3 linked regions of the Anolis sagrei genome follow. The protein of the gene in region 3 interacts with the protein of the main gene of each other region in a pairwise test. Links are inferred from orthologs where the notes say so. Each region holds a gene or a part of one and is shown on either strand. Other genes may lie near its edges. The genes, in order: FRS3, NEDD9 and RFX6.

What was found.
Region 1: the proteins of RFX6 (region 3) and FRS3 interact in binary tests that used the Homo sapiens proteins (3 or more experiments, as listed by UniProt). The two-hybrid records come from large-scale screens. The link is inferred for Anolis sagrei from reciprocal best matches to the Homo sapiens genes RFX6 and FRS3.
Region 2: the proteins of RFX6 (region 3) and NEDD9 interact in binary tests that used the Homo sapiens proteins (3 or more experiments, as listed by UniProt). The two-hybrid records come from large-scale screens. The link is inferred for Anolis sagrei from reciprocal best matches to the Homo sapiens genes RFX6 and NEDD9.

What each region holds. Positions count from the first base shown.
Region 1 is NC_090024.1:190,892,424-190,900,493, forward strand, and holds the start of FRS3 (fibroblast growth factor receptor substrate 3), read right to left. Parts: upstream 3,037-8,070; 5' UTR 2,837-3,036; intron 1-2,836. UniProt on the Homo sapiens protein: Adapter protein that links FGF and NGF receptors to downstream signaling pathways. Involved in the activation of MAP kinases. Down-regulates ERK2 signaling by interfering with the phosphorylation and nuclear translocation of ERK2.
Region 2 is NC_090024.1:83,014,657-83,022,570, reverse strand, and holds the start of NEDD9 (enhancer of filamentation 1), read right to left. Parts: upstream 3,012-7,914; 5' UTR 2,827-3,011; coding exon of another isoform or gene 2,815-2,826; intron 1-2,814. UniProt on the Homo sapiens protein: Scaffolding protein which plays a central coordinating role for tyrosine-kinase-based signaling related to cell adhesion. As a focal adhesion protein, plays a role in embryonic fibroblast migration.
Region 3 is NC_090021.1:89,811,116-89,818,127, forward strand, and holds the start of RFX6 (DNA-binding protein RFX6), read right to left. Parts: upstream 3,031-7,012; coding exon 2,992-3,030; intron 1-2,991. UniProt on the Homo sapiens protein: Transcription factor required to direct islet cell differentiation during endocrine pancreas development. Specifically required for the differentiation of 4 of the 5 islet cell types and for the production of insulin.

The sequences.
Region 1 (8,070 bases), on a different chromosome or scaffold from region 3:
TGGAAAAAGGGGATCCATCCTGAAAATGTGTTTACTCCAGTAAATGGAAAGAGGGGCATGGAAAATTATGGCCCAGAGAATAGGTGAGGTAGTGATTCATCGGTACTTACACGAAATTTGGCATTGGCTGAGAGTGTGTGTGTACTTAGTACACTGACATACAGGTGAAAACAGGAGAGATGCCATTAAAATCTCTGTAACAAAGCAATGAAGATGATGACCTAGAGAGGCAATCCCTGTGAGGCTTCAGGTGAGAATGCATGAGAACACATATCCCCTGGAGCTGGGGAAAGGTGAGGGACAAATTCCCAGAATCAATAGCCAAATAATCAGAATAGAGGGGTAGAATGAATCCTGGAGAGTGAATAGAGAGGGGATGTTGTCCTAAGTCAGTGTTTCTCAACCTGGAGGTCGGGACCCCAGGGGAGTATCAGAGGGGTCACCAAAGACCATCAGAAAACATAGATTTTTCTGTGGGTCATGAGGTTCTGTGTAAGAAGTTTGGCTCAATTCTATTGTTGGTGAGGTTCAGAATGCTCTTTGATTGTAGGTGAACTATAAATCCCAGCAACTACAACTCCCAAATGCCAAAGTCCATTTTCCCCAAATTCCACCAGTGTTCACATATGGGCATATTGAGTATTCATGACATGTTTGGTCCAGATCCATCATTGTTTGAGTCCACGTTGCTCTCTGGATGCAGGTGAACTACAACTCCAAAACTCAACGTCAATGTCCAACAAACCCTTCCAGTATTTTCTGTTGGTCATGGGAGTTCTGTATGCCAAGATTGGTTCAATTCCATCGTTGGCAGGGTTCAGAATGCTCTTTGATGGTAGGTGAACTATCAATCCCAGCAACTACAATTCCCAAATGACAAAACAATCCTCCTCCCCCAACCCAACAGTATTCAAATTTGGACGTATTGTATATTTGTGCTAAATTTGGTCCAGTGAATGAAGACACATCCTGCATATCCAATACTGACATGACGATTCAGAATAGTAGCAAAATTACAGTTATGAAGTAGCAACGAAAATAATGTTATTGTTGGGGGTCACCACGACATGAGGAACTGTATTAAGCGGTTGCGGTATTAGGAAGGTTGAGAAACACAGTCCGAAGGGCCGAGAAGGGGGATGTCTAATGGGAGAGGAGGTTAACTGGGGGCCACGGTCAGGGTTGGCATCTTGCTGGGTATAAATAGGCTGGGTATAAATAGGCTTTCCTACCAGGTCCAGAACAGCTCAGGGAATATATATATATATATATATATATATATATATACGCGCGTGCGCTAAAGGGCAGAATAAATGAATGCTAAAGGAGAATTTGGAAGAAGAGGGGGTGATGCCTTATAAAAGTGAAAAGAGGGTCTATCACAGACATTGGCAAAGTTGGGCCCTCTAGGTGCTTTGGACTCCAACTTCCACTATTCCTAACAGCCTCAGGCCCTTTCCTCCCCCCCCCCCCCCCAGCCGCTTAAGCGTATGGTGGGTCATGTATGTTGGGCTTACCACCATTCTTTTATTTATTTATTTATTTATTTATTTATTTATTTATTCCCTGGCTTTCTCTACCTCAAAAGGGACTCAAGGCAGCTTGCATATAGGCAATTATTCAATTGCCTCAGTAAGCATGAGTCCAAAAGTGGCAGGCTAAAACCGGGAACATCAATCCAGGGCTGTAGCTGGGGGGGAGGGTTATGGGGGGGGATTAAGAGTTCAAACTCCACAGAAAGGGTTCAATCCCACCCCCTGAACCCTGGTTTACTCATGAATTTTAACCGATTTATGAGAAAACCAGGTTTTTGACACATTTCAAAGCATGGTTGCATTTTTAAACCCCCCTCTGCTTACGGCCCTGCCTCAAGCCATGGCTGATACCAAATGAGAGACCTCCCCCACCCCCCAACCCCGCACACAGAAGCCTGGGCAACTTGGAAGGTGCTGAACAGACTGCACTCTGGCACCACAAGATGCAGAGCCAACCTTAAGAAATGGGGCCACAAAGTGGAGTCCACGACATGCGAGTGAGGAGAAGAGCAAACCACAGACTACCTATTACAATGCAGTCTGAGTCCTGCCACATGCACAATGGAGGACCTTCTTAGAGCAACACCAGAGGCACCCCAAGTGGTTGAGGAGGAAACAGAAGGGGCCTGAAGCTGTTAGGAATGGTGGGAGTTGGAGTCCAAAACACCTGGAGGGAAGGCGCAAGTTTGTCCATACCTGCTTTATTAGGAGGGAAGGTTAACTGGAGGAGAGGTTCAGGACTGGGTATAAATAGATGGAATAACCTGAGGCTATCCTATTACTCTGGACTGAAGATGGGAATGAGCTTCAGGAAAGCTGGTCAAAAATTATACACACACATCTGTACAAACATACATCCATATCTATCTATCAACCTATCTGTGTGTGTGTGTGTGTGTTCTAGGTGCTGATCTATCTCTCTCTGTGTGTGTGATGAAGGTTCTTCGTTCCCTTCTTTTCCTTTCTGAAGGAGAGAAAGGAGCTGCGGTGGGTTGAGTGGCACTCAAGGGAGATGGGGATTTTTTGGTGGGGCGCAATGGGAAGAAGGGAATGCAGAGGAGGCTTTTGGGTTGTGTACGGGGTCATTTGGAGCAATGGGAGGACTGGGATGCAGAGGAGGCGTTGGGGGTTGTTTTTGTTTGGGGGGGATGTCTGGAAAGGCAGGAGGCCGGAGAAATAGGAGGATGTGATTTGGGGGGGGGGGGCACCAGTGCGCACTGGATAAACCGAGGTCCCTGGGGCGAGGAAGAGGGGATTGTGGGGGGACCTTGAGAGCTGGGCTTGGGGAGAGAGTCGCCTACCTGTCCCAGGGCAAAGAGGTCCGCAGGCGCGGGAGGATGGCGCTGACTCCCTCCCCGCCGTCCCTTCTCCTCCTTCTCCTCCTCCGTCTCCTTCTGCCGGAGTCCGGCCCGGGAGCAAGGAGGCAGCCCACAGCGTCGCTCGCCGGCAGGAGGACCCGGGCAAGGAGGACAGCTCCCTGCATCAGCCCCGCTTCCACCACCAAATCCACCACCAAATCAAGATTTCCCTATTGCCAGGAGACGGGGGCTTACTTTCCGCGCATTTCACCCTTTCTTTCCTGCCTTTGCGTGGCAGGAAACCAAATCCTCGCCACGCAGATCACGCCTGGAAGCAAAGGCACTATCTGGCATGATGCTGTGTCATATATAGTGGGCTTACTGCCATTCTTTTATTTATTTTATTTGCTCTATTTATACCCCGGCTTTCTCTACCACCAAAAGGGACTCAAGGCAGCTTGCATATAGGCAATTATTCCATTGCCTCAGCAAGCAAGAGTCCAAAAGTGGCAGGCTAAAACTAGGAACCTCAATCCAGGGCTGTAGTCAGAGGGGAGGGGGTCCTAGGGGGAGATTTAAGGATTCAACCCCCCCAAAAAGGGTTCAACCTCACCTCCACCCTGAAACCTGTCATGAATTTTAACCAATTTATTTCAGGGTGGGGTTGATTTTTTTTTTTTTACATCCTCTAGCTACGATCCTGCCTCAAGCCATGGCTGATACCGAATGAGAGACCCCCTCCTCCCCCCATCTCAACCCCCACCTCTTCCCCAGGCACACAGAAGACTGAGTAACTTGGAAGACGCGCTCTGGCACCACGAGATGCAGAGCCGACCTTAAGAAATGAGGCTACAAAGTGGAGTCCAGGACATGCCAGTGTGGAGAAGGGCAACCCACAGACCACCTACTGCAATGCTGCTGGGCCATGTATAGTGGGCTTACTGCCATTCTTTTATTTATTTATTTATTTATTTATTTATTTATTGGCTCTATTTATACCCAGGCTTTCTCTACCACCAAAAGGGACTCAAGGTGGATTGCATATAGGCAATTACTCAATTGCCTCAGCAAGCAAGAGTCCAAAATTGGCAGGCTAAACCTGGAACATCAATTGATTGCTGTAGCCGGGAGGGGTTTAAGGGTTCAAATCCCCTAAAAAGGTTCAACCCCATACTCCCTACCCCCCCCCCCCAAATTTGGTTTACTCGTGAATTTTAACTGGTTAACCATTTTATGAGGAAACCAGATTTCTGACACATTTCAGAGTGGGGTTGAATTTTTAAACCCCCCTCTGCTTATGACCCTGCCTCAAGCCATGGCTGATACCGAATGAGACACACACACACACACCGGCACACAGAAAACTGGGCAACTTGGAAGGCACTAAATGAACTGGGCTCTAGCAGCACAAGATGCAGAGCCAACCTTAAAAAATGGAGCCACAATGTGGAGTCAAGGACATGTGAGTGTGGAGAAAAGCAAACCATAGACCATCTATTGCAATGCATTCTGAACTCTGCCACATGCACACTGGAGGACCTTCTTGTAGCAACACTAAAGGCACTCCCAAGTGGCCAGCTACTGCTCAAGGACATTTAACACAATGCCAAGTTTTTAAACTTTGTGTTTTTAAAATACATTATAACTGTACCCTCGGTTTGCTTCTGATAAAAGGTAAAGGATTTCCCTTGGCATTAAGTCAAGTCGTGCCCGACTCTGGGGGTTGCTGCTCATCTCAATTTCTAAACCGAAGAGCCGGCATTGTCCGTAGATACCTCCAAGGTCATGTGGTTGGCATAACTGCATGGAGTGCCATTACCTTCCCAATGAAGCAGTACCTATTGATCTACTCACATTTGCCTGTTTTCGAACTGCTAGGTTGGCAGAAGCTGGGCCTAACAGGAGGAGCTCACCCCGCTCCCTGGATTCAAACCGGCGACCTTTCAATCAGCAAATTCAGCAGCTCAGCAGTTTAACCCATAATACGACAAATAAATAAATAAATACCATTAAAACACATACAATTCCAATAAAATTCAATTCAATTCAAATTCATCCACATTAAGTATTTAAAAACATTTCATTCTATACTAAAATCACGCCTCCATAATAGTAGTTCAAGCTGTTCCATAGTCATTGAACATATTCCAAATTTGTTATTGCACTGTACTGTTCTCCGAAATCTTGATCCCAAAGCTAAGTTTTTACTTCCCTTCTGAAGGCTAAGTGGGAGGGGACTGATCCAATTTTGCTGGGGAGAGAGTTCCACAGCCGAGATGCCACCACTGAGAAGGCCCTGTCTCTTGTCCCCACCAGTCGCGCCTGCAAGGAAGATGGGACAGAGAGCAGGGCCTCCCCAGAGGATCTCAATCTTGGAGATGGTTCATAAGGGGAGATACATTCAGACATTTAAAAAGGGTCATGCCCTGTGCATTCTTCTCCCCCCTACTATTACCAGGTTGTGGTCAGAGAGTACATGTCCTGAGCCCCCAGTATCTGCTGAGGTTTGTTTCCAGAATTGGAGACCCGAACCTGTGGATGCTCAAATCCCATTATGTACAGTGGTCTTCTATATACAAAATGGTAAAAAACGTTTGCTTTCTGTACCTCACAACCTCTGAGGATGCCTGGCATAGATGCAGGTGAAATGTCAGGAGAGAATGCTTCTAGAACATAGCCATATAACCCAAAAAACCTACAACAACCCAGTGATTCCGGCCATGAAAGCCTACGACAATACATTACCTTAGTCAGTGTTGTCAAGCTCTAAAGCCACTAGGCGGCGCTGCATGACAGCCCAAGGGGGACAGATGGGGCCTTCAAGCTTAAAGGTTAAGGCTTACAGGTTGAATATCCCTCCTCCAAAATGCTTGGATTTCCTTGTCTCTCCCTCCCCCACCGATTTTGGATTATCTGTGTTCGGACATATATCTGTGTTTGGGGCACAAGTCTAATTCCAAAATTCATTCAGGTTTCATATATTCCATGCACATAGCCTGAAGGTAATTTTATACACAATATTTTAAAATAATTTTGCTGTGTACACTGAACCATTGCAAAGCAGAGGTGTCACCATCTCAGCTACTCATGCAGATAAGTGTGGATTTTGGAGCATTTCAGGTTTCACGATTTCTGATAAGGAATGCTTAACCCTGTACCACTTTGTAATTTGACTACTGCAAGAAAGGCGGTCAAATGGACCCAGAGGTTTTTCTCCTTTTGTACATTACATTGTACAAAATGTAATGTATAATTATGGCGCTCCATGAAGTCATGCTGGCCACATGACCTTGAAGATGTATATAGATAATGCCGGCTCTTCAGCTTAGAAATTGAGATGAGCACCAACCCCCAGAGTTTGTCACGACTGGACTTAATGTCAGAGGAAAACCTTTACCTTTTACTTACATTAAATTGAGCATAATCTTCAGGATATAGGGCTTAATTTTAGCCAAGGTTCAGCCTCAGAACCTATATTTGAATGTCAGAATTCAATCCTTAGGCGAGATCAAATTATGGAATAATATTGAAGCACTCTTAACTGGAGGTCAGCTGTGACCAGCAGTGCTGTGGAATTGAAGAGGCAAAAATGGAGGACAAAAGGGAGAAATGTGCCAAGAGTAAAGCACGTCAAGCCAACCCTGACCAGGACCGCCTTCCACCTGGAAACCAATGCCCTCACTCAGAGGCGGCCCAAGGTAATTTTCAATGGTAAGCAAACAGTATTTTGGCGCCCCCCCCCCCCCCCCCGCAACCAATCACTGATATATATATTTTCTGTTCGTCATGGGAGTTCTGTGTGTCATATTTGGTTCAATTCCATCATTGGTGGAGTTCAGAATGCTCTTTGATTGTCGGTGAACTATACATCCCAGTAACTACAATGTCAAGGTCTATTTTCCCCCAAGAGCGCCTCAAGAGCACCCCTGGGCAAAATCAACTATACTGCAAATGCTTACTTTGTGTAATGGTTTGAGCTGCCCCTGCCCTCACTGTAGAATAATATGTGGGTCAATATTAAGGCTCCACGGCTACCTACGTATCAACCACCAGGACACTACACTTGGAAGGTCATCATACTTGGAGGGAAGCCCCCCCCCCCTCCGGTGGCACAATGGGTTAAACCCTTGTGCTGGCAGGACTGAAGACCAACAGGTTGGGGGTTCGAATCTGGAGAGAGCGTGGATGAGCTCCCTCTGTCAGCTCCAGTTCCCCATGCAAGGACATGAGAGAAGCCACTCACAAGGATGGTAAAATATCAAAACATCCAGGCATCCCCTCGGCAACATCCTTGCAGACAGCCAATTCTCTCACTCCAGAAGTGACTTGCAGTTTCTCAAGTCGCTCCTGACACACACAAAAAAATCATACTCGGACAATGAGGGATCACTTAATACAATATTGAAGTGCCACTGAGCATGTGAAGAATAGCTTTCAGTCATGTCATTAAGATACAAGGATAGGGGGTGTTCCACATCCCTAGTTTCAGATCTGGACCTATCACTAAGCACCCTCCAATATACTACAGGCAGTCCCCAAGTTACAAACACCTGACCATAGTTAAAAATGGGGATGAGATAACAGGAAGTGAGAAAAATCTACCGCTAGGAGGAAAATTCACCCCTGGAAGAATTATCATGGGGGAAAGGTATCTCCACTGAACGCTTTATCGCCAATCCTTATTTCCACAACAAGCCATATTTTTTCCAAATCCAATTGTCACAGTGATAGAAAATGAGGTGCAATCTTCTGAACTGGGGCTCAGACAGTAAAACAAATGTCACAGGGGTGTTAGTCCTTCCCTATGCTATCCAAAGCTTTGGCTGGGTTTCCACTTTCAAATGTACTGTTCCAACTTACATACAAATTCAACTTAAGAGCAAACCTACAGAACCGATCTTGTTCATAACTTGGTGACTGCCTGTATTCTCAAAAGGAATTCAATTCTTGATAGGAAACAAAGTTCCCTATTGCTCTTCTATATATGAACTCTCAGCTAAAGGCTCCCCATAGTAGATGGCTTCTTTTCACAGGACAACATTGATCTAACATGTTGGTTAAGTGGATCCATAATTTCTTAACAATTAATAAGTCCTGCTTGGTGCCTGCAAACTGCATTGCATTTCTATTTAGAGGGTATATAGTGGCTCATTGAGACATATGCTTCTATCACTACCATAACCCAATTCATTCAACAAACATGTTTATGAAGGGAACAATTACAACTATTATCAAAT
Region 2 (7,914 bases), on a different chromosome or scaffold from region 3:
TAGGGAGAGTTGAGACTTCATTTGCTGTAGGGTCCATGTTCAGCAAATCTCCGAGTTACAAACGTCCAACGTACATTCTACTCATAGTTAAAAATGGGCGTAGGAAAACAGGACGTCAGAGAAAACTGCCCCTAAAATGGGAAATTTGCTCCTGAAAGAGTTATCATGCGGGAAAAGATGTCTTCACTGAAGCTTTCTCACCAGTCCTTGTTTCCACAACAAGCTATTTTTTCAAAATCAAAGTATCCCAGGGTTGGAAAATGAGGCGAAATCTTCTGAACAGGGGCACAGGCAGCAAAACAAACCCCACAGGGGTATTAACCCTTACCGATGCGATCCAAAGCTTTGGAAAAAAAATAGTTTTGGCTGGAGTTACACTTTAAACATGTCCTTGTTTCAACTTACATACAAATCCAACTGAAGAACAAGCCTACAGAGCCAATCTTGTTCGAAACTTGGGGACTGCCTGTGTTGATCTTTGGAGTAGTTCTCAATCCGAGAAGCCACAACCCTGGGTCTGCAAGACCTTGAGGACAGGCTGACTTGGAGGTCTTTCAACTTTAACTCAAAGGCAGCAGAGAACAAGAAGAAAAATTCACAAAACATTCTTGCAATGTCTGAATCTCACCTTCCCTAAGCCATGTATTTAAGGATGTTTGAGTCAGTCTTCCGAGAAAAGATCTCAACTTGTATTGTCAATGGCTTTCATTGCCGGAATCACTAGGGTGTTGTGTGTTTTCCGGGCTGTAAGGCCATGTTCCAGAAGCATTCTCTCCTGACATTTCACCTGCATCTATGGTAGACATCCTCGGAGGTTGTGAGGTCTGTTGGAAACTACTTTACTTAGGCGATCCCTCATAGGATGATGGTGTTCTGTCGGTGGGTCCGTAGGTGACTGTGGGGCCCTGTTCTTGATCTGCATCTTCTCCCGCAGTGAGGGCATTGGTTTCCAGGTGGAAGGCAGTCCTGGTCAGGGTTGGCTTGACATGCCTTCCTCTTGGCACGTTTCTCTCTTTTGCCCTCCATTCGTGCCTCTTCAAACTCCACAGCACTGCTGGTCACAGCTGACCTCCAGCTGGAGCACTCAAGGGCCAGGGCTGGTGGAAACTAGGCAAGTTGGGTTTATGTATCTGTGGAATGACCAGGGTGGCCAATTGCTACATTCGCACTTGCCTCAATCAGACAAGAGTTCTTTCTCCCACCCTGGACATTCCACAGGTATATAAACCCAACTTGCCTAAGTTTCCAACAGACCTTACAACTTTTGAGGATGCCTGCCATATATGTGGGCAAAAAGTCGGGGGAGAATGCTTCTGGAACATGGCCAGACAACCCCGAAAATCACAGGTCCAGGGTGGGTGAAAGAACCAGGCAGCAACCTGCCAGGCTTTGAAGGTGCAAGGCCATTAAATGTAAATCAAGCTGGCCAATTACAACATTCACGCTTGCCTCAATCAAAAAAAAGTTCTTTCTCCCACCCTAGACATTCCACAGGTATATAAACCCAACTTGCCTAAGTTTCCAACAGACCTCAAAACCTCTGAGAATGCCTGCCATAGATGTGGGCAAAAAGTCAGGGAAGAATGCTTCTGGAACATGGCCAGACAGCTTGGTAAACTCACAGGTCCAGGGTGGAAGACAGAACCAGGCAGCAACCAGCCAGGCTTTGAAGCTGCAAGGCCATTATATGTGAATCAAGCTAGCTAATTGCAACATTCACACTTGCCTCAAGCAAACAAGAGTTCTTTCTCCCAACCTGGACATTCCACAGACATATAAACCCCACTTGCCTGGTTTCCAACAGACCTCACAACCTCTGAAGACGCCTGCCACAGATGTGGGTGAAACGTCAGGAGAGAATGCTTCTGGAGCATGGCCAGACTGCCCGGAATCATAGAATCATAGAATCAGAGTTGGAAGAGACCTCATGGGCCATCCAGTCCAACCCCCTGCCAAGAAGCAGGAACATTGCACTCAAATCACCCCTGACAGATGGCCATCCAGCCCCTGTTTAAAGAAAATACACAACAACCCAGATCTCAGCTTGCCCTCCCTCCCAACATACACACACACAAGGGGAAGAATTTCTGATAAAAGCTTTGAACAAAAAAAAATGTTGTTTGCTCAGAAATAAGGACTTGAGCAAAGCATTCCTAGACTGTCAAGTCCCCTTGAGCCCCACAGGGCTTCTTTCCTCGCAGGTAAGGAGTGGAGAAAGTGCCTGAGCTCCGATCACATCAGCTTGGGTCTTGAGAGCGACCTTAAATCCGGAGTAACCGAACGGAAGCGACTGGAGGAAGCGCGCCTGCTGTGCTGCAAAGGTCGCCCGCGCTAGAAACTTCACGCTCACTCCTCATCACACTAGACAAAAAAATCCACTTAAAATCCGGTTTCTACCTCCTGCAGAATACTGAGGTTTGTAGTTTAGTGAGGCTGTTAAAATCTCCTCCCTAAACTAGAAAGCCTAGAATGCTGTAGGAGGCAGAAAACGGATTTTAAGTGGATTTTTTCTCCAGTGTGATGAAGCAACATGTCGAATGAAGAAGGTTATTGATGGAAGCTGACTCTGGAGACAGCCCTTTCCCTTCCCTGTGAGGGCATCTGTAGAATCAAAACAGCTTGACACCACTTTCCCTGCCATGGCTCAAAGCTTTGGAATCAATCCTTTGGAGGGAGACCAGGCTCAACCTATCATCTCTCTCCTTCCTTCGCCTTTCCTTTTCCATTGAAGGAAGCCGGGCAATCCTTCCAAGCCCCAGCGCGCTTTTTTCCAACTTAGACAAAAAGCCAAAACTTTCCTTCCCGTTTTCTTACCTTGTACTTCATCCTCGCAAGCTTAATGAGGGGCGTCTTTGGGGGGAAATCCGGCCGCTTTACAGCGAGATCCCCTCGCCCACCATAGCCTTTGCCCGCTTAGAAGCGAAGCGCGTCCCCGTGTGTGGAGTGAGGCGCGTTCCCGCCGGAGGTCGAGCACCCTTCGGAGTCTCCGCCGCTCTCCGCGCATTGTTTGCCTGGCGGAGGGGGCAAAGCGATGGCTCATTTGCATACCTCTCCGCCATTGGCCAGCGCGCCAGACGTTCCTGAGCTGGGGGCGAATGCCTCCTGGTGACCCCGCCTCCCCTTTAGAACGGGTCATTCATTAGCGCTCTGCGTTGGCACGAAAGGGAGGGGGAGGGGGAGCAGGAGCAGGGGGAGGAGCCCAGGAAAGTTTTCCAAACCCAGAGCCCTTCCACACAGCCATATAACCCTGCATGGTTCACGATTGAACTATATCGGTGTTTCTCACCCTTAATACAGTTCCTCATGTTGTGGTGATCCCCAACTCTAAAATTATTTTGGTTGCTGTTTCACAACTGTAATTTTGCTACTGTTATGAATTATAATGTGAATATCCCATATGCAAGACGTATTTTCATTCACTGGACCAAGTTGGACACAAATACTCGACACGCCCAAATTTGAATACTGGTGGGGTTGGGGAGAGGGATTGATTTTGTCATTTGGGAGTTGTAATTGCTGGGATTTCTAGTTCACCTACAATCAAAGAGCATTCTGAACTTCACCAGCAATGGAATTGAACCAAACTTGGCACGCAGAACTCCCCTGACCAAGAGAAAATACTGGATGGGTTTGTTGGGCATTGACCTTGAGTTTTAGAGTTGTAGTTCACCTGCATCCAGAGACTCAAACAATGATAGATCTGGACCAAATTTGGCACCAAACCTCAATATACCCAAATGTGAACACTGGTGGAGTTTGGGGAAAACAGACCTTGTCACTTGGAAGTTGGAGTTGCTGGGATTTCTAGTTCACCTACAATCAAAGAGCATTCTCAACTTCACCAACGATGGAATTGAACCAAACTTGGCGCACAGAACTCCCCTGACCAACAGAAAATACTGGATGGGTTTGGTGGGCACTGACCTTGAGTTTTGGAGTTGTAGTTCACCTACAACCAGAGAGCACTGTGGACGCAAACAATGATGGAGCTGGACCAAATTTGGCATGAATACTCAATATGCCCAAATATGAACACTGATGGAGTTTGGGGGAAACAGACCTTGTCACTTGGGAGTTGTAGTTGCTGGGATGTATAGCTCACCTACAATCTAAGAGCATTCTGAACTCCACCAACGATGGAATTGAACCAAATGTGGCACACCGAACTCAACGGAAAATACTGGAAGGGTTTGATAGGCATTGACCTTGAGTTCTGGAGTTGTAGTTCAAAAAGATCCAAAAGAGGGAGAGAATAACAGGAAAATGGGGAAATGGTTTAACTCTTCAACCCTCCTCCCAATAAAATGGACAATCCTTTGTCTAGTGCCTCCTTTTGGCCTCCACTCAGAAAATGGAGCAGTCCTGTAATATAATAATATATAATCTAGGTGCAAAGATTACTACAGATGCAGACTGCAATCAGGAAATCAGGAGGTGCTTACTTCTTGGGAGAAGAGCAATGACCAATCTCGATAAAACATAGAAGAGTAGAGACATCACACTGGCAACGAAGATCCGCATAGTTAAAGCAATGGTATTCCCCATAGTCACGTATGGATGTGAGAGCTGGACCATAAGGAAGGCTGAGCGAAGAAAGATAGATGCTTTTGAACTGTGGTGCTGGAGGAAGGTTCTGAGAGTGCCTTGGACTGCCAGAAGATCCAATCAGTCCATACTTCAGGAAATAAAGCCTGACTGCTCATAGGAGGGAAGGATAGTAGAGGCCAAGATGAAGTACTTTGGCCACATTATGAGAAGAAAGGAAAACTTAGATAAGACCATGATGCTGGGGAAAATGGAAGGAAAAAGGAAGAGGGGCCGACCAAGGGCAAGATGGATGGATGGCATCCTTGAAGTGACTGGCTTGACTCTGAAGGAGCTAGGGGAGGTGACGGCCGACAGGGAGCTCTTGCGTGGACTGGTCCATGAGATCACAAAGAGTCAGAAATGACTGAATGAATGAACAACCGCAATGCTGTTTGGGTTTTTCCTATGTACAATAAGTAAATAAAATTCATGATAAGTAATTTACTTGTTGAAAGCTTTCAGGGCAGAAATCAGATGTTGTGCACCTTTGAAGATGCCAGCCACAGATACAGGCAAAACGTCAGGATTGAATGCTGCTGGGACATGGCCATACAACCAAAAAAACTCAGCAACCGACTTTTGCATCTTAAATTTTCCTGGTTAATAGTATAGTCTCTGCACAACACACCTTAATTATTTCCTTCTGTCCTTTCCTCCCTAACACTCATAATATAACATTAAAAGTCAAATGTTTCTTTTGGCATGGGGACAAGTTCTTTATTTACGAGTTGATTAGATGCTGGAGGGCAAGGTGGTTTCAAACAATATAGATGCCCCCTCCCCCTTGTTGGCAATTTTTAAAATGATGTGCCAGTTTAAGACAAGGTGCTTCAGTTCACTCAAAGGCAAGCAGAGATGAATCAAATACGACCTGCTATGTCCATACTTTATAAGTGGGCCTCTTTATTAGGTTGAAATGATTCCTGGCCAGACATTCACTATCTCAGCTGGGAGAAACTCCAACCAGACAAAATGATTTGGACTGAAAAAAATCTCCAGTCTGAGTCTCAAAGCATTCCGCTGCTGAGAGCTCAACGTTTTGTTTCTTTTATTCTGACCAAGTTGGACCTGCCCCAGTGTTTCTAAGTCACAGATGGACTCGGATGGCTTCCAACGGCCTAAAAACGAACAGTAGGCTGTATTCTGTTACCAGATTACTGTACAAGGATTCTGTTGCAGAGCAGATAGGCTTGGTGGAGGGAACCTGGCTTTTTTATTATTATATAATTTATTTGTAAAGATCATTTTTTGAAACTAATAAAAGTCAGCTTACAAAATACAAAAGAACAGCAACATACCCATTCAAATTATGCTTATTTTATTGTTTATCTGTTTATTTACCGTATTTATATACCACTTTTCTCAACCGGGGGGGATGGGGACGGGGGACTCAAAGCGGTTTACAAAAAATAAGGGCAAAATTCAATACCTTACATACATAAACCAAATCATAAATCACTAAATCATAAATTATAGCAGTTTTTACTTACTTACTTTCTTACTTACTTAGGTGATCCCTCGTAGTCCAAGGATGATGGTCCTCCAAGGTCAGTGTTCTGGCAGTGGGTCCGTAGGTGGTTGTGGAGCCACCTACATCTTCTCCCACAGTGTGACGGCACAAGTGGCGCCACCTGTGTGTAGAACTTTAATTTGCAAAGGTTTAAACTGTGTAACATGCCCCAACTTATCTGTTTTCTCTGTAAATGTATAGTGGGATTGATTGGTTATTTATAGCTGTCAATCAATGTTGTTTGCACCAGATGAATTGCTCCTCCTGCTCAATTGTTTTGACCCCACCTCTTCCTAGAGAGCAGGGCAGTGTTTCTTTCTTCATTCTACCATCAGACATCTCAGCAGATGGACATGAGAAAGACTTGGCTCTAAAGCCTTTAATTAAGTTACCTCTAATCACCAATTCTAAGGTTTTTACCCTTGGGACTCATACTTCATGCCCAGATCTCCCTGGACAGCGTTGAGGAGACCCAAGTGCCTTCAAACCGATCCTGTGGCACCAGAGGAAGGCTTCGTGTCTTCAAATATAGGCCATTTGGATTTGGAGCTGTGAATGTTCAGGCATTTGCAGCCATTGAGAAAGAGGGAACAGGAAAAGCTTCTCAGCTGCGAAGTCTCCTTGGACCCAAGACAACCAGAGACTGCAATGTATATTTCTTTTATCCCTTTGAAACTTCCAGCTTATTGCCTTAAAGGGATAACTCTTTGTGAACAATAAAACCTATTTTGAGTTAGATCCAGTGTTTTGGTCCTTGGGAGTTCCAGTTTCCTAAAGGAGGGCAAGAAGCAATCCCCTGGGGAGAGATATCACGTCCATGTATCTTTCACTAAGATCTATAGACCCCAGGCGTAACAGCATACACAGTGAGGACATTGGTTTCCAGGTGGAAGGCGGTCCCGGTCAGATTGGCTTGACACGCCTTCCTCTTGGCACATTTCTCTTTCGCCCTCCATTCGTGCCCCTTCAAATTCTACAGTATTCAAAATATACAAAATTCAATACCTTACATACATAAACCAAATCAAAAATCACTAAATCATAAATTATAGCAATTTTTAAAAATGCATTATAAGGAAAAGGAGTAAATCAGAGTGTGGGTTCGCTGCCCACCTGAAGTCATGAGTGTTGGGGTCTTCTTGGGAATTTCATATCTGGAACCTCTTCTCTCATTGAGTTTACAAAGATCACAGTTTGTGGGCAAATTAATAAGAGAGAAAGTAACCTTTTGGGTCTCTTGGTCTTCATCCATGTCTGCCCCAAGATTGGAAGTACAATTCGATTCCAATATCTATGGTGGATACACTCCCAGATTTCACATGGACACACAAAATCATGGATAATAGTGAACTTTATTGAAACATAAGACTTCTGGCCCAAGAATACCATAGAATCACATTGTAGGACCCAGAAAATGCCTGGAGAAGACATACAATATTTTGTCAAAAATTGATAAGTGGAATCCTATACTGGTGTTGCAGATATGGGGGTCATATTGTAATACGTTGTGAGCAAAATAGTCAGTTACATTCAAAGGAGTCAATCTGCTAAGAGTAAGAAGTGGAAATTTCCACTTCATGTCACCCTACTGGAAGGCTGGCAGCTGTCCCTTATTATAGGGATTGTCCCTTTCTTTGGAGTTTGGGAAGCTTGTAGGCAGAGGCGGCCCTAGGTAATTTTCAACGGTAAGCAAACAGTATTTTGGTGCCCCCCTCCAACCAATCATTGATATATATATATTTTCTGTTTGTCGTGGGAGTTCTGTGTGCCATATTTGGTTCAATTCCATCATTGGTGGAGTTCAGAATGCTCTTTGA
Region 3 (7,012 bases):
ACCTAGAACAACCCAGAATTAAATTATTTGAATATTCTGGATATAAAATATGGTAGGGCTTTTTCCTTTGCTGAATCCATTTTTCACCACATATGGGGTAAGGGTTTTTGTTGTAGAACTTTAGCACTACTTTTTTTGCATAAACAATTAATTGATGGTTCTGTGGTTACTACACCCCTGGTATTTCCTTTCTTGGGAAGTGGAATGTATATCCAGTGTTTCTGTAAGCTATTGTTTTGTTTCCCATATTTAGAACTAGAGTAAATGTTGTCCTTTAGCTGGATATTGGTGTGCTATCAGTTCCTGGTGATTTATTTCTCTCTAGTGCTCAGAGTGCAGTTTCCATTTTAATTTATAAAGTTATTGGCTCATCATCAGATTGTTCTTCCTTGAATGAATCTGCCATCCTTTCACGTCCTTTATATATTTTTTCAATGTATGGTTTTCATTGGCTTTTATTTCTACTTAGTCATGTAATGTCTTCCCCTGCTGGTTGTAGAGCATTCCCACTCTTGTTTTCAATTTCCGTGTTGTATGTCAGCCTGTGATTGTGTCTAATGATCAGGTTGTTTTGGATGATGGGAATGACAATGTTGTTCATGTTCAAGTTGATTCTTCTGATGGAAATGGAGATGCTGTCCATGAAGATGTTCCTGAAGGGAATGGGGATGACGGTCCGTTTCCTGGACCTGGTTTTAGACATTGGGGGGGGGGGGGGTCTGAATGCAGTTCAAATGATGGCTTAGAGAAGGCTTTATTGCTATAAGGGGATTCTCAAGGTCTTGAGCCTGAGAAAGGCTCTGCGCCGCAGTCCACTGGTCAGTTATCTCCAGGTGCAGATTTTAATGAAGGCTTGAACATAAGTGTTTTTAGCCAGCAAAGACAAACAAACCAGCAATTATGGCACTCAGCCAGATTACATCAGAAGTTAGAAGTGAAACTAAAGTTAAGGAAAAATCCATTCTTAGCTGTTTGTGAAATAGGGCAGGAACATAAGTGCCAAGTACAGAATCTAGCTTCAGATGAAGCAATGTTCAGATGAAGCAACTTGCTTCATGCCAAATTCCTGGACCCTTGTCTTTGTTTGATTCCTGTTTGAAGTGCCTTTGCTGTTATTTGCCTTTGAAATCAAGCATCTAGTTTCATGGACTTCTTTGGACTATCTCTCTTTGGACTAATTGCTCCTTTTTCTTCTTAATCAATTGGATTTACCTTTTGCTGTGGACTACTTTTTATTGCTTTGGCTTTTATTACATACAATAAACTGCTTGCTATTTGAACTAAACTGTGGTGTTTGAAGTCACAGGGGATCCTGCTCTGGAGTGTAACACTCCCTTTGATTTCTTGGATCTCGTGGAAGAGGTCTCTTGTTCTTTCTTTTTTTGTTGTCATCATTTATTTTTCTGAATTGATTATTACAGTACTTTTCCTTGTTCTTGTGCACAGAAATATTTTTAATTAATAAATAATAAGATTTCTTCCTTAAATAGTTCATTGTGTAGAATTCAAAGGCATTGCTATGTTTGTCTGGAATAGTATGCAAAGGGATCTTGTAATATCTTAGAGACAAGCAAAGAGAATGAAGTTGATACTAGTAGCACATGCTTTTGTAGGTTAAGTGTACAAAGGTTGCAACTGAGGAAGTAGACTGAGTGTACAAAAGTTTATGCACCTAATTTTGTTCTCATAGGCCCCTTCCACACTGCCCCTGTACCCAGGATCTGATCCCAGGTTTAAACTCGATTATATGAGTCTCCATGGCCAGATAATCTAGGATCAGATGCTGAGATACAGGGGCAGTGTGAAAAGGGCCTTAGACTCTAAGGTGCTGTTGTAATCACAACAGTGGTGCAAGTGGCTGGTTGAAACAGAACAAGCTACCAGAAGATAAGTGAGACATTAGCTGAGGTCTAAAGAGTCTGAGGCCAAGGAAACCAAATCAATAAGTCTGTTTAGGGTTGAGCCAGAAGAATAATGACAACAGGTCTGAAGTCAAATCCACAAAGGAACAAGTAAGTGTTGGAAACCAGGTCAAAACAGAGTAGTTTTCCACACCAGAGAAGCATCATGCAACTACTTGATTTATAGCTCTGGTTCCTCTTCTCAGCTGCTCCTTGATTTAGCAGAATTTTTCATAAAGTGGCACAACTTCCTGAACTCCTCTCTTTGCTGGTCTCTCTCTATCAATGTAGGCATTTTATCTTGAACTTTCTAGCTGCTTCTGGCTCCAGTTTCAGCCACGGGAACATCCACGGGCTTCACTGGCACTTCCATCTGCTCTTCCTCTTTGCTGTCTGAGCATAGTATGAGAGGTGCTGCAAGATCCCTTTGCATTCTTAAACTGTGAAAGATCCATGTAATAAATCTGGGCTAGTTGGGCCAATGGGAGGATTCAATACATGACAGCTTTCTATGCTGTGATATTTTTCTCTCCAACCCAGTTCTCAATCATGGAATGACCATTGGCTTAGAATCATAGAATAAGAGAATTGGAGGAGACCACATCAGCCATCTAGTCCAACCTGCTGCCATGCAGGAAAAGCGCAAAGTATCTCTGACAGATGGCCATCCAGCCTCTTTTTAAAATTTTCCAAGGAAGGAGGTTCCACCACACTCTGAGGCAGAGAGTTCCACTGTTGAACAGTTCGTACGGTGAGGAAGTTCTTCCTAATGTTCAGGTAGAATCTCATTTCTGTAATTTGAACCCATTGCTCTGAGTTCCGGTTTCCAGGGCAGCATAAGGAAGAGGTCTATTCCCTCTTCCTTATGACACCCTTTCACATATTTATACATGGCTATCATGTCTCCTCTCAACCTTCTCTTCTGCAGACTAAACATATCCAGCTCCTTAAGATGCTCCTCATAGGGAACGGTCTCCAGACATTTGATCATTTTAGTCACCCTCCTCTGAACACCTTCTAGCTTGTCAATATCTTTTTGAACTGTGGTGCCCAGAATTAGACACAGTATTGCAGTTGAGGTGGAACCAACCTGGACACAGAAATGCTGGACCACTTTCACAACCACCATGTCAGGCTACACAGAGAAGCCATTGAAATCCACAAGCATGTGGACAATTTCAACAGAAAGGAGGAAACCATGAAAATGAACAAAATCTGACTACAAGTATTAAAAAACTCTAAAATTGCAACAGCACAACAACAGAGAAGAAGCAGGCAGGGACATCTAATTACCTCTCAACAAAAGTTTGCCCCAGGCACAGTCAGCCCATTGTATGCTAATCAAGGTGGTCAGTTGAAACATTCACACCTAGCTCCAGCAGACAAGAGTCCTTTGTCTCACCCTGGTCACTCCACAGATATATAAACCCTTTTCCCTAGTTCCAACAGACCTCACTACCTCTGAGGATGCTTGCCATAGATGCAGGCGAAACGACAGGAGAGAATGCCTCTAGACCATGGCCATACAGCCCGAAAAAAACCTACAACAACCCAGTGATTCTGGCCATGAAAGCCTTCGACAATACATCAATACAATGATTTATTTTGTGGATAAAAAATCACCAGTAGATGGCATAGTTTAACAACATACTTCTTCCTTTGCAGCTTCTGAAGCAGAATAATGTTTTACTGATCTTTGGTGGGAGATCTGGAGGAATATTTGGAGTAGTCATGCAGCAAAATTAGAAAATGCACAAAACAAATAAGGACACTTCCCTTTTTGTTGCAAATACAATTGAAATTTTATTAATATTTAACTGTCATTGCTTGAACTCATGGCCATCCAATTACCTATTAACTGACAAAAGAAATAACATCTGATGCAAAATGTATGCCAAATAGACTAATATAATAACTTTATCTTCTCCTTTATGATTTTAAATACTTTAAACATGTTAAGCTTATCATATTTTACACAAAGGATAGGTGTTCAACCATCTTTAAGGGTAGCCCCCCAGAAGGTACATTGCTATAGCCCAAATGGGAGGTCTTCGGGGCATAGATTACCATGAAGTTAACCCTCTTCGGATATAATTGTAGCTAAGACACTGGATTGATTATGACCAACCCTTTTTTAAAATGAGGAAGTACAAGTTCTTGAGCTGTGTTGTGTATTCCATCCTCCACAAATAGACACTGCAGCTGAAAATGTTGTGTTTCTGAACTCTGGAAGACAAGAGCAAAACAGATGGCGTACTTCACTCATCTGTGAGTTTAACTTTTATATATATATAAGATTATTCACATTTTATTACTATGGCTTTTCTAGGAATATTATGGGACTCCAGTGCAACTCTAAGTTCAATTCCCACCGGAAGATGATCCTGAAATTGCACTGGAGTAGTGGTCTCCAACTTTTGGTCCCTTCAGGTGTTTGGGACTTCAACTCTGAGAAATCCCAGCCAGCTTATGAGCTGTTAAGAATTATGGGAGCTGAAGTCCAAAACACCTGGAGGACCAAAGGTTGGGAACCATTGCACTGGAGGACATAGAGGTTCCTAAATAAGAGTTCTTTTAGGTAGTGATTTTAATTTGCATTTTCCCAGCTTCCATTGCTTGTCAAGCAGAGCTTGTCCTGCTGCTGTAGCACTAAAGGAAAGAATGCTTCACCATGTTGGCTGAAGCTCACCACATTTTTTGTGTGTGCCAGGAGTGACTTCAAAACTGCAAGTTACTTCTAGTGTGAGAGATTTGGCCATCTGCAAGGAATGCCTAGATGTGGTGTCATCCCATGGGAGGCTTCTCTCATGTCCTCACATGGGAAGCTGGAGCTCACAGACAGAAGCTTACCCCACTCCCTGGATTCGAACCACCGACCTTTTGGTCTGCAGTCCACCTGGCACAACACTTTAACCGATTGTGCCACCGGGGGCTCCTATATTGTATGCTTACTACATACTACATATGCATCCAGGAAGAGAATGTGATGTGGATGAAATAATGGTAAAGGTGATGGGCAACTAGGGGAGAACGAGATGAGCAAAAAGGAAGATTTCCCCACACTTCACTAACCAGGTATCCAGAAGATTGCAAGGAATTTACAAGCACTAACATTTGCATTTAATTTATAAATCAAAATGCTGGCTAGCCAATACATTTCTATTACTTCACAGGCAGAGCATGGATTTCTTTTGGGGGGGGGGGGGGGGGTGAATTAATGCAATTTGACTCAACTTTAAGTGCCTTGGATCAGTTCTATGGAATCTTGGGAATTGCAGTGTGGTGAAGCACCAGCACTCTTTGGCAGAGAAAGCTAAAGACCTTGGAAAACTATAAATTTTATTCCACTAATACATGGTATTAGTACTATGGAATGGAATTTATAGTTTTCCAAGAACTTTAGCCTTCTCTGCCAAAGGGTGCGCCCACATTTTCTCCCACATTTTCTGCAAATGTTACCTTTCAAAAATTTCAAGAATGAAAAAGTTTCTAGAAGAAAATACTATTTCAAAATGGAGGTTTCATGTTTAAAATGGTAATCTGTTATAGCATTTTTTAAAACTATAAACTATATGCTATAGAAATGACTGTAATAATCATTAGGCAGAAAGCTCTGTTTTATCCATACAAACCTTTGTGGACTTCCATAGAGGAAACTGTATTGGGCAATGGCAGCTAGCATGGCAAAATCTTTTACATATTTTCTGAGAGATAGCAGTGGGGAGCTGAAGCAAATAATGGGGTAGAGATTACAGTGGAGTTGGTATAGCCAGGTCTTTGGGGGATTGGTTCAGTTGAATTCTGCCAGGAAAATGCCAAAAACTAAAGTCTTGGTTACCACCTGGGAGTTGTGTGATTCTAATTGAACCAACAGCACTATGCTACACTTAGACTATGCTAAGTTTATAGCAAATACGAAGGCTGTACAGATTATCATGGTTTTTCTTCTTCTATTTGTTCGAAAGTGAATGCATAAAAATAGCCAAACAGCAAAGAAGCTGTAGTATAGGGTGAGCAAACCATGAATTTGAAAACACTGGACTCAATTTTATTGCTAAGCCTAACTGGAATATGCCCGTTAGGTTTGTGCACTGAACCATTTTCCTTTGTTTCATCCATTCTTTTGTTACTTTTTACTTTAAGGTGCACGTAACAGGAAGCCCTCTCCCGGTATGAAAATGAACTCAACACGAAAGCAAGTGGGAACTGATCCTGGCTCTTTACTTTTTTGTAAGCAGCCTCCTTGCCTTGGAAAGAGTGTGTATGTGGTGTGCAGGCCCAGAAAGCGTGCACGTCTGCCTGCAGCCAAGCACCTCCTCTGAAACAGAACTTGTCTCCTTGCCTTGGAAAAAGTATGTGTGTGTATGGCATTCAGGCCCATAAAGCATGTGAGCCTGCCTGCAGCTGAGCGTCTCTCCTGTAGAGTAGAAACACTAACAGTTTAAATGCTTAAAGTGATGGGAAACGGAGCCTGGGAAGCCCCCTTTCCCCCATAATGGGCTGATAGAAAACGGATCTTTCAGCACCCCAGAGTGAAAACAGATATCTGCCCTCCAAATTTTGGGAGGTGCCCCCGAAAACCAGATCTGGATCCCTACCAGAAGTTGTCACACAAAATGGGTCAAGGTTTACCCATATTGCACAACCCTAATACCCATTGAATTGATGAGAGTTATTTATGTGCTTTCTAATCATTTTATAACTGAACATTAAGGAAAACTAATCAGGAGAAAATAATCCTGTAACTGTTTTACTAAATGCAGTTGCATTGGATTTATGTTATTTAAAACTTTAATTATTTGCATGCATACATTTCAAAAAGAACTGAGCTCAGTGATCCTTTGAGATGGAAAAATATGCAGAATTGGATTATATGTAAAAATAATAACATATTCAAACTCAAATTTAGAATTATTAATTTTAAAAAGAGAAGACAGAGTTAATATACTAGTTGGAAGTAACACCTCACAATTATTTAACTTAGTGTTATAGTGTTTCAATGTATTCTACTTCAATCTTTCTTCTTCTGCAAGTTGTACAAACATGTATACTTGTTATTCTCTCTGAGTCTGCACTGTCATAGAATCATAAAATCATAGAATCATAAAATC